Linked DNA regions of Arabidopsis thaliana. The protein of the gene in region 2 interacts with the protein of the main gene of each other region in a pairwise test. Each region holds a gene or a part of one and is shown on either strand. Other genes may lie near its edges.

Region 1 (8,481 bases), on a different chromosome or scaffold from region 2:
TAGGACACGAACTAAAAACATTGTCTACGTGGACTTACGTGTACGCACCAATGATATTGTCACACGTCAGCACACTCTCCTCTCATCTACTTGGCCATGTTTTTTGGTTATCTTGTTCATAAACAGAGGAATCCTTTTTCTTTTTCTTTTTTATGTGCGAAAACAGAGGAATCCTTAAATTTTGATCTCGATATAAAGATTAGCTGAATCACATTTCATAGTCCACACTACTAGAGTCAATTTATAACACAAATCTATTTGATTTTCGAATTAGGTTATCTCAATTTCCTCATAAAGGAATAAAAAGACAGAAGAGCCTTTGGCTTCAAGACAAAACCCATGTGCACTTTTATGTTCCGATCAGCTACTTCTTTAGATTGTTCTTCAATTTTTCAACCTCCACATTCTGGTGCCTTCAAAGCATTTTCTGTTGTTTTGTTCTGTCTTGGGAATGGTCGTCTGAGAAACTTTGTTGTTGGCCAAGCTCGAGGTTTTATCCTCCCTAGTAACTTCCATTCTCTCGGTTTTAACTGCCCGGCCAATCTCATTTGCTCCCTTCTAAACTTCCTATTTGCATACCATATCCCGCCTCGCCAACCCAACCCATACCTGAAGAAAAACAGACGGAAACTATTAATGAGAAACCCGACACACAGTATCTAACTTGTCAACCTATAACAGTCTTTCCGGAAACAAACCCGAGGATCAAAGTGGTTCCCGCTGTGGCAATTGTTGTAGTGAACCTGGAACCGACTGGATCAACGAGCTTCTTCAGTTCTCCTCGTTCTAACTCTTGGGTGTTTTTCATCTGGCATGACCAAAAAAACAAACATTTCAAGTGACAGACTGAGACAATAGAGCAACTAAGGATCATTAAGGTACAAAAACAAAACACTGAATATTTTAAAGTGTAAAATAGTCAACCACGTAAGTATTAGCAAAAAAATCTATATTATTAACGGAAAGAGGACTAAATTCAGACAACTACGCTGTAAGTTCATGATAGAGGATCAATAACTAGACATCATAAGAGGAAGCACCAAGTCATTTGCAAGAAGAGCAGCTATATGAATCCAACTATGCAAAGCAGCTAAATTTAAAGCAAATATGCAATACTATGTGCAATAAACTTTGGCAAATGAGGGACACACTAACCGCATTCTCAATGGACTCCAGCCTCTGATTAATTCTAGTTTCATTGTAATGTCGTAATGAGTAACCTGCACAATCATTCATCCATTCGGTAGAACACGGTCATAAAACTCATTTGACTCAGTACAAACATAAACAAAAGACCAATGAGATACCTCTTCCAACGGTCACTAGTATCACACAAGAAATTCAGTTTCTAACTTGTTTTATGTCCCAGCAGAATAACAAAAGACCTAGAATATCATGTAGAGATCTCAAAGTACTAAACTTCAGTTATTGGAAGTTTTGGACAGATTAGTTATTGAACATCATCACAGAATTCTGACCAAGATGATCTCCAAACACTTGGAAACTTATGGCAGATCAAATCAACTAAACCGTAATCTATAGTCTGATCCGGAAAAAGGCCTCAAATTTATCACAGAATGGATTTCACCCCTAGAGATCAAGCCTGAGAGCTAAAGCTATCCCAATGAAACACTCATGAATTGAAGCCAATCAACACCCAAAATCTGAATCACTTCACTAATAGCCATTGCTCGCCTTTCAAAGCAATCCAATTCAGAAACTTAAACATCAAAATACGTGGTAAGAGGTAAAGATTCTCTAATTGAAGATAAAGTAAGCAAAAAATATGGAATTGTAACATACCAATCCAAGCCGTAGCAACAGATGCTATAGAAGTTCCAACTGTAAACACGACCCTGTGCCTCTCGAACAAGTCCTAAGAGATTAAACGAAACCCATTATAAGCAGATTATAGATTGACATTTTAACAAAAATCCTGATGCAAAAAACATTTACTAATCCCAATTCTTCAGAAACCGGTATGAATTGAAATTCTTCGATCACCTTGGTGGATAGATATGAATCCTGGACGGCGACCAATGAATTTAGGGCTTTTTTCTTCAGCTGAGGCACGAGTGCGGAACCCAGAATCGGTGTACCTCGGCCTCTCAGCCGATTCATGATTCCCTCGTGCGGCTGTAGAAACTCGGATTGAGTCGACTCGGCTAATTAATTAGATTGAGTTCTGTGGTTTTGCTTGCAGAAATCGTAGGCAGCCACAAAACCCCAACGGAGAGATTCCCTGTCACGCAAAGGACGAAGCTTCTTCCCAGATTTTTCTCCGACAAAAAATGCCTAAAAACAACCCTTTTCAGTTTTTTTTTTTTTTTTTCTCAATAGTGGACTTTATTCAATAAACCGTTTGCTACAAGGCCAATTACAGCCCAACACACATAAACAGATTGCGAACAAAAGCAAGCTCAAGAAGAGCCCAATAATACACCGTTTACAGAAGAAGATTGCATCAAGAAAGATCATCCAAAGACACGTAATAATACACGTGTAAGATGAGCCAAAAAAGATTCCCATCGTCATCCTTCGCCATCGGAGATATCGATTTCTGGTGAAGAAACCACCGTCGAATGCAAATCGTCGGTAGATCAACTGTTTATCACCAGCAATAGCAAAACAGCACCATGAAGAAATATTGGAATAATTAAACTCAACAAGAGAGTAAAATCCAATTATTCAGGAACTGTTGGTTAAAACTAATCGAATCTCTAAAACTCATTAACAGCTAAAGGCAATTGTAATAGGCTGAGGAAAGTTTTCAACTCTTTTCTTTACTTTTGGAATGTTCAAATGAAATATGACTCATCGATAAAAAAAATTTGGAACCTTTTTAGTTTTAAAATTGAAAAAAAAAAATAAGCTTGAAATTGGGGATATTACTGATGTAAACACTTGACAAAAGCAAAAGATGTAATTTTACGTTCGAGTTGTCATTCATAAAGAGCTCTTAGTGAGTGTCACAACACAAACTCTATTTTTCCTCTGATAAGTCTGATTAAAATTTATTAACAGAGTCAAAAACAGAAGAGAAACCTGTGACAACATCACTGGTTTCATCCTATATTGTTTTCAGCCATGGCCATCTCCAAGCCAAAAAAAAAAAGAAAAGAGAAACACTTTTCACCTCCCCTCCTCTTCCACAAAAAAGGGCAGAGAGAGATCATTGGGGTTTTTAAGAATCATGATCATGGTGATGACGCATCCTCAGACAAATCCTGCACTTCTCCATTGTCTGGTTTCTCAGTCTCTGAGCTTTCTTTCTTCACATCAGGTTTACCATTAGAAAGAGACTTTGAATCAGAGCGGTTTGGTGTTGGTGAGATCCTCTGATGGGTTGTAACAGGTGAAGCAAAAGGAGTAGGCAGAGAAGTAGCCATGGTCAGGCCCGGATATGGCAGCATAGGGTGGTCGAATTTGCAGTTTGGTCCAAACTTGCAGAATCCATAAGACCTGAAGTTACCACAAGCTGGTTGTCCCTAGACAGCAAAAATCAAAACAGTAGCTCATTAGATGTTCAAAATCTTTGTAAAAGTTTTACTAGTGACCTGTAAGACCACATTTGTTTGTAACCAAAGCTCTTCTTTCAGTTTAGTAAGAGACTTACAGGTCTCGCTGGAAGAACAAAAGGGTTTATAAGACTTGGTGGTGGTTGTGAAATCCTTACTCCGGGATGGCTGTATTTGCAATCGTCTCCGTATTTACATGTCCCGGTGTTCATAAAAAACCGACATTCTGGTTGGTCAGAACTTTCTGACAAACCACGGTTCAATGCCACAGCCATGGCCATGGATGCACTACTACCGGAGTAATAAGGTTGATTCTTCACATTGTACATGGAGTTAGATGCAGCCTGCAACATAAAATGTGATATCAACAGTAAAGAACAGGTTTACGTTATTGGCAGCTTCAATTCAGACTAACCATGTAAGGGGCCCAGCCTTGAGGAGGTAAAAAGCCTTGAGAGGGTGAAACCAGGATTGGCACATAGGACTGGGGAACTTGCGGACGAGGCAAAGTTCCATATGTAGACATCATTGTTAAACCACTAGCATATCGTAAATCTGCAGCAGGAAAGCTAGACATTCCATATGCAGTAGAATGTCCATTATCAGGTTGAGGATGGTGGAATTTGCAAGCAACTCCGAATCTGCAAGTTCCCGTTCGCAGGTAATATGGACATGGCTTCTCACCCTGGAGAAGAAATTCAAATAAGTCTTCCACATTCGACTAAAGAAAAAGAATTTAGCTACAACGATGGAAATTACCAGACGCATAGGTAAACCGATAACATTGAACATTACAGGTTGTGCACCGTTCCTGTCCTTTGGATGATGATATTTACAAGTTGGGCCGTACTTACAAGCTCCTGTCTTCAGAAAATACTGCAGCGAAAATTGCATGTAGAAGAAAAAGTTGTTTGTGGAAAACATTTGGAGGAAAGACTAAACCAGATGAGGAATATCTTCTGCAGTTTCAATGTATATTCTTGCTACCTCTCTTATGTGAAGTTACAAACTAGAATCAGTTCTCTTACTTTAGCTTTATTCTGAACAAAAATCTCGTTTTCTTTTTAACTGTTTACAATGTACTCATCCAAACAACAACCAAGATTTGAGATAGTGAGAGATACAAGAAACTGCACCTCACAATCCGGCTGTCCAATTCTCTCAGGGAGCTCCTCCTTGTAATAAGCAACATCCTATTAAGATGTTTAAAAGCAGTAAACCCATGAGGCCAAAATTGCAACTTAAGTAAGACTCAGCCAAAATAAATGAAGTTTAGTTTCTGACCTGTGGAAGATGAGTAGGATGATTGTAACGGCAACTGCTTCCATAGCCACAGAGACCAGTTCTTAAATAGAATTGGCAATCTCTTTCACCGGGACGATCTGGATACGGATTCAGTTCCTCCACGCCGGTCTCATTTACTTTCATCTTCCTAAAGGCATCTACAAGATCATCATAACAACAACAACATAAATCTCAAAACTTGATCACTAGATAAAAAAAGCAAACAGAAAACGTAAATAAAACTCATCAAGAGATCAAAATTCCGAAATGCTACAAAAATTTGCTGAAATCACAATGAGAGTTATAAACGATGATCAAACTAGAAAACTCAGTATGATCTTTCAAACACATTACGGAAAAACCAGACCGGATCAAATGGATCTCTCGAGATTAGAAGAAAGTTAACCTTCGATTTTGTCGGAAGATCGAATCGACACCAAAGAGCTCTGTACATGCTGAGTGTCTGACATGGGGGTTCGCATGTAAGGAAAGACGATGATCACGATGATCAACAACAACAGAAGAAAGGAAAAATCACAGAGAAAGTGTCACGATGATCATCGAAAGAAACAGATTTTTGTTATCCTCTATTTTTCTGGGTAAGAAATGACGAGGAAGAACAGAGGTAGATAGATAGAAGAAAAAATTCAATTTTTCTTTTATCACAGACAGAGAATTATCGTTGGAACAGATCCATTTAATGCTAAATAATACAGAAATGTAGTAAATTTTCTTCCTTGTTTTTTTTGTTTTACACAGACACTCACTGAGATATTTCCAGAGGAAAAATTTCGGATCTTTGTTTTTTGTTTTTGCCCTTTTTTTTCTCCTCCGATGTCTCTGTGTGAAAAGGAAGAAAATTAATTAACCGTGTTTTTAAAAAATAAAAATGAATACTCCTCGTGTACAAGATAATAAATTTGATGTACCTGAGATGACAATATTACCCCTGCTTGGTCTGGTCTGATATCTTCAATGTGACGGTTCATTGTGAACCTAGCTAGACCTTGGCAGCTTGGCTCTTTTTCAAGTTTTAACCATCGGTTTTCCAGAGAATAATACTGAATTACCTACTGACTATACAATTTTCTTGTAATGAAAATATATGATTTTACTAAATAAAAATAAAATATCATCCAGATAGGGGTAAAAGGGTAAAATAGTCAGAACAATGTAATTCTTCTGGCACAAGAAATCTTATGCTTCGCAGTTTGTAAAGTGGTTGGGACCCACCGGTAGAAAAAGGGACAGAATCGGAGGTTACGATTCGCTGGTCACTGGAGCAGCGTAAGAGCTGTGATCTTTAGACGTCAGTATTACGCCACGTTAGCTTACGAGGTAGTGATCCTCTGCTCTGATGACCACCTATGTTCTTTTCCGTGATTTTGACGCTTTTCTCTTCTACTGGTTTGACCGTTCCAAATACTTTTTATTACACGTCAACAACATATTAAACAAAAAAAAGTAAAATGGATTCGGCTTTTTGTTATTTTTCTTTTGACTCTCCCCTTTAATTAGTTTCCTATGACTTCAAGTTTCCGTCTCCTACTAGATTAAGGTAATGTATGTGGAAAGGGTTTTTATAAAGTATGAATTTTGGACTCTGTATAAAAATGGAATTCCTGTGATTTTAAAATGAAATTAGAGTTATGTACATGCGCATTGATGGTGTATTTCCCTATTAGCCCTAAGAACGATCGTTCGTTAATTATACAATTAATCATTTATTGTTGAAGAGACAGAAACAACATCCAAGAGAGAGTCCAAAGGACGGATCCATTACAAAGACATGTGCAAGAGATTTTCTTAGTCTCGTACTCCTTTCGGTCGGTTTCTCCAACAAATGGGCCTTGGCAACAGGTAAAATAATACTATTGGGTCTGTTTTGTAAAATCTTACGTTTTCTGAAATGGAGGATGTTGATACCTTTACAATGGGCCTAAGGTCCCATAAATTGGGCTTTAAAGGGCCTCTTTTTGATACTTCCTTTTTTCATTTTATGTCTTGATGTTCGAAATCTTCTATGTAAACAAATTTTTTTTGGTTTTAATGTCAAGAGAATATGTGTGTGTGAACAATTTATAATGACCATGTTACATTTTCGTCTCGTATGTTTAAAATTCTTGTTTTTATTTGAAGTTTTCACATAATTATTTGAGGGAAATATTAAATGATCTTTTTGCAACTCTAATAAAACGTTAGTAAGTGGCATGCTAAATATATAAATGATAATACACCAAGAAAATTGAAAGTGAGCTAAATATATCATTCCTAACAAATAGTTGATAAATTCTCAAGTTGATATATTGTACTAGATATTAGTCATAAATAGAACCTAACTATGAACCAATAATAGGTCTACAAATGTGGGGCCAGAGACAAGAGAAGAAGTCACGACTTTGAATCTTGATGATCATGGATGAATGGATATCATGCATGAAAAAATTAAAATTTCTATGATATGGAAAAACGACAATAATGGACGAAATCTTTGTACGTCAAAATCGGAGACTTAGATCGTTAGATGCATGCAACTAATTAACAACTCCAATAACTTCAATTGAAAATGTGCGTATACTCACTCTCATGAACGGTCTTCTCGTATTGTTAATTCACTGTAATCCTTTTGCGTTTTGATACGCAACTTCGGAATGGGCAACGGTATAGCGAGGCTTACGTATGCTTTGGAAAAACATTAATTCATATATTAATGTTTTATATTCCGTGAGAAAATTTCAATGTTTTGGAAAATTAGAACAAATTAGAACAAATTCTCGAAAGATAAATTGAAGGCATTATGATATTTTCGTACGTTCTTTTTACGGAAAGTTCTTTAACGGCATCCAAAACGCTTTCGTACGTGGCCGAGTGCTCGCGGCGCAATAATCCTTGAGAATCATAAGGTATATTCCCTGGAATGTACCTTTTTTGTTTTTCTTATAAAAAAACTATCTGGTGCATTTTGTTTTTATGGAGTAATTTATCCAATTAAAGTCCAGTGTGGGACACTAAACATTACAAATTTTATGTCTTTAGCTTAGTTATCATCTGTTTTTTTTTAATTAGAAAAGAGTAGTTTTCTGGTGTGAGTGTTATGTGGAAGACAAATATGTGACGTGGATTCTAATAATGTATTGTCGTGATGTGGTTCTTTTTGCATTATTTCGTTTTGATTATGTAATAGACATATATTTAAATGGTGCGATTATGCACCGAAGAAAAACATTCGTCTCCATTTTTCTTTATACGAAATTTGACCCCAAAAAAAAGGTAAAACACGGCGTCCGTGTTATTATGTAGTATCATGTATGACAGAAATGGCAACTACAGTAGATAGTTTGGACCGAATTTTATTTTCACACAATTAAATAGTTATTTCAAGGCAGTAACAAATTGGTGGAAAAAAAAAAAAAAAAGGCAGTAACAAATATTAAAACCGAATATTGGCTAAAATTATACATTTCAAAACAATATTATGAAATTGTTTAACAAAACAAAATGTGAAAGGAACATAGAAGTAATTAATGTACTCAGATTACGATCCCATAGAACTTAAATAAAGGTGCGTTTATGAATGCCAGATGACTCAGATTAGTGATTGTTCTTCCCACTTAGCAGAGTAATTGCTCTTTGTCCTTTGGAATCTCTCTCTCTCTTTTTATTTCTCTGTGTTTCGCTT
Region 2 (7,903 bases):
TTCTGTGTGATCTTGATGGTTGGCAATGCATCAATTGATGATTTCGGTGCTGGTGGTGGGCCTCGGTGATGAGTGCCTGAGGAAAGCTGTTCAATCAGTTCTTCAAGACCGGGTCCAAAAAAATAGTCTCCGGCATTGGTGCCACGTGCGATACCAATTCCAGGTGCTGCGCCATTGACAAAGGCTTCAACTGAACTATTATCACCACCAGCCAATCGAAAGGGAGCTTGGCCACCAAAGATCAATAGAGGAGCCAAGTTTGAAAAGCTTTCAGAACCCGCAGAGCCAAGTCTTCCGCTGATTTCTCGGTCATAGCTTCTTTCAGCTAAACGGCTTCTCATAAAGGCTGAGAAAGCTTCCATGAGATCAAAGGTTGGATCACGCTCAACATCCCTGTGAGCTCTACTCGGTCCTATATCGATTTCCTCAACAAACCCTCCTCCACAATATGAACAGACAGCATCTCGAGCTCGAAGCCAAACAGCACGTTGACATCTGTGACACCAATGAGTATTCCGAATACTTGACATCCTTTACAATAACAAGAGAAACAAGGTCCCTGTGTGGTTGAAACCTTGGAAGATTTTACAGTCAGGTATTAGTTATTAGCCTGCAAAAGCCGGTAGGAGAACTGATCACCAACTCCTGCTAACTTTTTTGCTAAGTTGGTAAACCAAAGAGATTTTGGCCATATCCCTACTTCCCAAGCTTACCTCAGAGCTTAGTTCATACTACAAGAGTCAATGGAACCACAAGTCATAATTAAGCAAATAAAAGACCAAACTTTACAACACATATTTCACCCAATTATGAAAAATCTCATGTTTCCCTCAACACTAGACCCTTTATTCCCAGATTAGAACATTCACATCATACTAATCTACTACAATCTTCAAATCTAATCTAGCTGATTAACAAATAAATTCTTCTTTAATCAAGCCAACTCAATTAAAAAATGACCAAATAATGAACTCAGAAACTCTATAGTTCAACCACATTTGAGCTAGAAAAAAAAACTCTAAATGAGCCATCAGGCGATCCAGCAATGGAGAGAAAATCGAATTAAGAACAATGAAGAAAGTACAATGCAAGAGATCTACAGAAATCAAAACATCTTTCGTTCGGTTAATCAAGAGGAATAAGATCGATCAAAAACCAGATCACAGAAAACGCTTCAATGGAAAAAAAAAATACGAAATACACAAATCCTAATCAATATCAGAGTAAAACACACAGAAAATATCCGAAATACAATCAAAGGCACAGACTTTACCACAACATTTGAGCAAATTTGATCCAAGGATCTAAATCCAACAAGAAAAATGAAACAAAATAAAATGATAAGATTCAAGAGAACAATTTACTTGGTTAATCAGAAAGAGCAGCTCAATCAGTTACATACCTGTTCACATAGATCCAAAGGAAGACGAAGAAGAAACCCTAAAGAAACTGTGGTAAGATTGGATTTTGGAGGAAGAAAACGAACCAAAAGAGAGCAACTCTGGTAGAAGAATCTCTCCGTTACACTCTATTGAGTCTTTTTGACTGTTAAAAAAAAAAAAGCTTAAAAAAGAACTTGTCTTATCTCTGTGTAATTCTGTGTAAAGTCTGTAATATCCTTTAATTCCCACGTGCCACGTGTCTACCTTTGTTAAAGTAACCCCATCTTTCTCCATATTTACAGTTCTACCTGTCTGACAGTCGCCGGCTTTTTGTCACGCTTTCTTTGCTTCCGTCTGAAGATTACTCAATATACTACTCACGATATAAAATCCTTTCTTTCTTTTATTTTTAAACCTCAAGAATTTCTATAAATAGAACAAAAAAGAATCGATCAAATCTGCTAAGATTCGATCACCATTATAGATGAAACTCAATGTTAGTAGAACAAGTCGTTTAAAAATGGTAACTTGGGGATGAAAAGTGAAAATTCAACAAGCAAACTAAAGATGTTGCTAGGATTTTGGAACCATCTTCTTCCGGCGCTTTCCGCTGGAAGACTCATTGGTCTGGGTATGGATGTAGCTCCTAAGCTTCTTTAGAATCTTCCTCTCACTCACACGCAACACAAGCGAATGATATAGTCTCCTGTCTCTCGGAAGACAACAAGTCTTCACCCTAACAATGTCATCTTCCAATGAGCTCAATGATCCATATAAACTCTCTCGCTTATCCACAATAGTTAGAAGAGCTTCACAAACACCATCTGTCAGAAGAATATCATTTCCGCTTTCTCCATACACAAACTTGTGTTTCCCAATTGTTATCTCGTAAGAAGAAGATCTTTTTCCTTCTTTCGAGGGAGAAGCTCCTGTTGTTGATTCAGCTAGATCCAGTTTATTGTATGTGTCGTCTGGTAAGAGCAGTATATAGAGTAGGATCAGGAGCTCGGTTTGGGGTTCTCCGGTTGAAGATACCTCAAAGTATTCTGAGTTTTGACTCTCGCATCCTGTGTAACCTAGTTTTCTCCACAAGGCCAGTCTAGCTCGAGTGTACCGGCTTGTGAATGAGGATGTGCTCCATTCGGTTACTAATTCTAGATCTATGTTTACTATGTCATATGGATTATCGAGCTCTGTAAATCCGTACCTGTGGAGTAATGCAGCATTACCCATCAAACCGTATGTATTGAATACCTACACAGAAAATCATGGCATCAATGCAAATGACATATAATTCTAACTTGAAAACCAAATGAAAAATCATACATACCTCAGCTCCAGCTGAGACATCCTTCACCATAATCATTTTTAGACCGGATTGATCATTTTGCAGCATTGAAGAGTTTTCTTCTTCCTCTTCTCCTTCTTCTTCTTCTTCTCCTTCTTCTTCTTCTTCTTCTTCTTCTTCTTCTTCTTTGGCTTCGTCATCAGTGTTTTCACCAGGAACTTCCTCAAAAGACTGCTCAGGCGAGGAAGAAATTTTACTGGAAGGCTCGTCTTCATCAGTGGTCTCATTTGCAGCATCATCGTTGTCAGATTCATCAGCTTCAGAATCGGATTCATGAGTGAAGTGAACGTCTTCTGCCCCAGTTTTATGATTAAAGCTGCAAAATGAAATAAACAGGCAATACTAAGAAGAGTGGACAATGAGTAAATCATCAAGCATTTGTCAGGAAATTCACCTAGCATGCTAGAATCACATTTAGTTCATCGAAACCGACTTCTAAGGATCATTTTTTCCACATGAAAAAAAAAATCAAAACGGAAAAGCACAGATCCAAGTAAATAACCAATAAGATGCTGCAATCCAGAAGAAGGCTGTGAAAAAAATCAGCACATTGATTGCTAACTGTATAGATTATCTGCAATCACTGACAGGACTGGGAACATACTCGGTCTTATCAAAGTGATTGAACCTAACGAGACCTTAAAATCTACACAGCGGAAATCTCTTGAGGACAACATAAACAAGCAAATGTTGGTCCAACAACTAGGCAAATTGGCCGATATACAAGATGCAATAAAAACTCACAAGTCTGGGAAGTGAACAGAGAAATAAGGAAAACATCTATATGACCATAAACTAAGTAACTAACTATATAAGTCTATGGTTAATGCAAAGCTTAGGGAGTAAAAACAGCTGATACAGGAAAGCATTTCTAAGGTATTAAACCTCAATTCTAACAACTTTCTTTGGTTGATACATATTTAGCTTAACAAGCCCTATGAAGACAAATGTGAGGTAAACTTACAGGTCTGCAAGAGGAACCATCCCGGATCCATGGTAATCATCGATTTCGAAAGACCGTGAAGCAATTAAACTCTTAGCAGCAAGATACTCTTTGATTCCAAACGAATCAGAATCAACATTCTGAGGCAGTGAAGAGGTAAGCGGCAAAATGTTTTCTTTCCAATCCTCATATATAAGAACATGATCTTCCTTCACCAACTGCCTACAAAAAATTCAAACTGATGAGTAGTGAATTCAACTACAATGCAATGGTAAATCAAAATTTGGAAAGGAAACCTTATGAAGCTCAGTTCCAGATAAGAGAGAATCTAAGTCTTCAAGAGACCAAACAAGAGGCAAATCTTCTTGAATAGGAAGAATCTGAAGATAACCAGCCCAAGGAGATTCTTCACCTAAGCTTCTCTCGTACATGAGAGCCACAGAGAGACCTAAACTTCCATCTAAATCAGCAGATTCGATCATCTCACGAGCTCCACTGGTTTTGATAGTGAGACAAGCAGTTTTTGAGATATTGGCAACAACATCTCCTTCCTTCAAATCGCAGAATGCTCTCACAGAGACACCATCGTTTTCGTCGTCGACGAGGTTGAGAGCTTCGCTGCAATCAACGCCGTTAGCTTGCATCCATCTCTTGAATGCTCTTAATCTCCTACTAACAATGCGAGAGACGAGAAATTAAACAAGGTAAAATTAAAGGTTCTATTCATTGACTATAGAGCGAGAGAGAACCTTGTGGCCATGAGTGAAGGTCTCCGATGAAATCGCCGGAGGGAAACAAAACAACGTCCGGTGAGAGAGACAACGACGGCGATAAATGAATAAAGGGTTTATGATGTTCAGTAACATACGAAGAGTATTGACGAAAATACCCTTCCATCTGAAAATTAAATAAACCTGAAGTAATTTGGATAACAGCTTCTAATTGCCACACTTTAATTACGGGGAAATTATTTATATGTTTTGTATCTTCCCTTTTAAACATTATCAAACTAGTAATCTATGCATCACATACAAATACTCCATTTCATTTTTGTAATGAGTTTAGCGATAATATGCATACAAATTTAAGAGTGTTCAATCCGAATTTTGGTTTAGTTTTGAATCTTCTGATACGTGACGAAAAGAAAAAAAACTTTTGATACGTAAAATAGTATCTAAAACAAAACATTTATCATTGGGATAAACAGTTTAGTACTCAAATTCAGAGTTTGGTATTTAATCCTAAAATATTAATAAAACTTTGATTTTTTTTGTTTGGTTTGAATTTAAATTCAAAATTTTGGATAAAGAAAAAGGTGAATGTATTCATACCATATTAATATATAATTCGATTTGAATTCGGATCCGATTATTCAGAATAAACACCCCTTGATATCAATGTAGACACTTATAGCCTCAACCCTTAGTTATGTTAGAAGTTATCGACTCTCACGTCATTGTAGGAGATTTTTCAGATTGTGGTTTAATCTGTATTTATTTGACATGGAGGTTTATCTTGCAAAAAAAAATTATATTGAGGGTTTTTTGCACAAAATCCTTATGTATTCAAACGGAGTTATCGACTGCCACGTCATCGATATACGGGAGGGTTGTATTGCAGGTGATTTAGAGTAGGTGGGGTTGACTTGCATAATTCGGACTTGGAGGGTAACTTGCAAACGAGATTGATTTGGAGGGTTATTTTGCAGAAAACTCTTCTTTTAAAAAGTATTAAAGAGTTTTACATCCAACAGTGTTAAAGAGTTTTACATCCAACTTTGAATTAAAGGAAAAAGCCTAATGTTTAGTGTATAAATTTCCAAAAACAAAAATATCAAGTAAGACTTTGATCTTCAATACATTACCATTTCATACATTTATATATAGAATAGACTAAAGTATGTGCTATAAACAAACCAATAATAATAAAAACTTTGTAATCATTAATTATAACAAAGATAAATGAATACTCAGCCAAAACAACATCATGTTCGGGTGCAGGAGAAGAAACGACAACAAAATCTTCCTCGTTCACTCCATTTGATGAACTCTCGGCAATTTTCTATCCTCGCCACAACCAAAAACGCAGAGTTTTGGTGATTCCACCATCGATTACTCTTTTATTTCTGATTCATTTTCAAGAGTGTCGAACAATACCGGTTTACTAGAAAACATCGTGAAGGAAGGAATAAAAGAAAGAAAATAAATGCAGTTGATCTCAACCTATCTATGGAGTTTGATTTGAATTTTGTGTGTTTTATTTTTCCATCAAAAATAAATAAAATGCTACCATTGTAATTTTTGATTAAGAATTACAATGGTAAGCATTTTATTTTATGTTTATTTACTCTTTTATTTATGTTTTTTTGTGTTTTATTTATGTTTTCCACCATAAACCTGTTTCATGATTTTGTAACGTGATCATTGACAGAAGAACACACAAAATGGATTCATGACGCACCAACAGAAACAAGAAGAAGACTCAAAACAAGACTCAAAACAGAATCCAAAAAACTTAAAAACCTAAATAACTTGGGAACCAAGAAACACTTCTTACCTTGTCGTGTTGTGAGAAGAGTGATCAAGAGAGTATTCTTGCATTAACCAATCAGTTTTGACGCCTTCTGATGGTTTCCCAACGTAGTATGCAAGTGGCCTTTTGTTGCCAACGACACCATCTCCAGCTTTAAATCTTTTGGGCAGCCACTTTTGCGTGCCAATATCCTCCGTCAGTGTCGCCACGTTTCTGCCTTTTCGCACCATTACCAACTCTCTTTGTTTGGCTTAAACCTTGATCAACTTTGTTCCTCTCCGTTATAATAAACCATTCTTTATCGTTACCCTTCTGGAATTCCTCTGTTTCAAAAATATATATATATAGATATATGTTAATCACTTAATAAACTAAAGAATTCAACTAAGTAAACAATACATATGGACGGAGACAAAGTTAACCTGAAAGTGTCTGTGGATTCGACTCGTAGATATTGACGCGATGAATAGGAACATTGAGCAATACGTTGGTGTTGCCGTCCGAGTAAGGTTTCAAGTAACAATTGATGACTTCTTTATCGTTTGGCATAAACTTAAAACCTGGCGGTAATACGTAAGCTATCGTCGACGGAGGAGACATGTTATCAGCTGCCAAAGAAGACGAAGAAGAAGGAATCTCTGACTGTGGTTGCGTTTGCGGTTCCGGCCAGGATCTTTCTTTGCGCTTGTTTCTTCCAGGCATCATCATCAAGTAACTTTGGAGCTTTGACAAAAAACAAGGAGTAAGTTTCGTAAGAGATATTCAGTTAGTTAGTAATTGTCTCTTATTTATAAGAATGTAATAAGACGGTGTATATATAAAATGATTTATAAAATTTGAGATAATATGGGATTAAGTTTCGTAAGAGATTTTTGCGTAAGTTTCGTAAGAGATATTCAGTTAGTTACGTTAGTTATTGTCTCTTATTTATAAGAATGTAATAAGACGGTGTATATATAAAATGATTTATAAATTTATCGAATTTGAGATAATATGGGGTTCGGATAATATAAGATTTGCTGAATATCAAATTGAGATTGAGATTTGGAAAAGAATAAGTTTCATGTTTAGCTAACAAACGTTAAAATTGTGGAATAATGTAAGCAAGAATGTGAATTACTCCAAACAACACAAGTTAACAAAGAAATAAACGTTGATTACATTAAATGTGAAATAAATCTGTTTTTGAAAAAAATATACCGTTTTCATGTTAAAATTGAAATAGTGTTGATTAAAAGAAAATGTTAGACAAAGTTTAAATAGAGCCATTGATAACAACTAGATAGGAAAAAGACCTTTGGTGTGAAAGAGTTTGCCTGAAGGTCGACTGTGAGTGAGCATGGTGTAGCTCGCCGGAAAGGCTGTGAATTTCGTCGGAGAAGCTCTATGTCACTAGTACTCACTTCGGTTAATGTCTTTTCGCGAATGTTCTCAAGATACTTACTTTGAGCAAAACTGAACGTGAAGATTTTGAAATCGAACATAGCCTCTCACATGCTTTTGAGTTTTGAGAGCAACACTTTCAACCTAAGTAGCAAACAATGTAGCGATAAAATTCATATTTGTAGTCAAGCTTTAGTTAAAGAGATAAGTTTGAGTTAGCCATACAAAGCAGTTTATAAATATTAGCAATTTTAAAAGAAAAAATATAATTGTTTACACAAAAATTATATCATTAATAATACAAAAAAACATTTT

The links.
Region 1: the proteins of AT3G56570 (region 2) and AT1G04990 interact in a two-hybrid assay, tested with the Arabidopsis thaliana proteins (one large-scale study listed by BioGRID).

What each region holds. Positions count from the first base shown.
Region 1 is NC_003070.9:1,416,171-1,424,651, forward strand, and holds AT1G04990 (Zinc finger C-x8-C-x5-C-x3-H type family protein), read right to left. Parts: upstream 5,470-8,481; 5' UTR 5,285-5,469; coding exon 5,209-5,284; intron 4,961-5,208; coding exon 4,803-4,960; intron 4,712-4,802; coding exon 4,655-4,711; exon of another isoform or gene 4,443-4,654; coding exon of another isoform or gene 4,395-4,442; coding exon 4,278-4,394; intron 4,204-4,277; coding exon 3,934-4,203; intron 3,863-3,933; coding exon 3,617-3,862; intron 3,489-3,616; coding exon 3,198-3,488; 3' UTR 3,046-3,197; exon of another isoform or gene 2,901-3,045; intron 2,858-2,900; exon of another isoform or gene 2,605-2,857; 3' UTR 2,442-2,604; downstream 1-2,441. Other genes in the region: AT1G04985 (triacylglycerol lipase-like protein), read right to left, coding at 393-609, 699-808, 1,156-1,220, 1,804-1,876, 2,005-2,121. UniProt on the Arabidopsis thaliana protein: Possesses RNA-binding and ribonuclease activities in vitro.
Region 2 is NC_003074.8:20,955,190-20,963,092, reverse strand, and holds AT3G56570 (SET domain-containing protein), read right to left. Parts: upstream 4,510-7,903; 5' UTR 4,434-4,509; coding exon 4,423-4,433; intron 4,346-4,422; coding exon 3,970-4,345; intron 3,892-3,969; coding exon 3,695-3,891; intron 3,047-3,694; coding exon 2,713-3,046; intron 2,637-2,712; coding exon 1,956-2,636; 3' UTR 1,800-1,955; downstream 1-1,799. Other genes in the region: AT3G56580 (RING/U-box superfamily protein), read right to left, coding at 1-530; NAC065 (NAC domain containing protein 65), read right to left, coding at 6,226-6,422, 6,628-6,928, 7,501-7,689.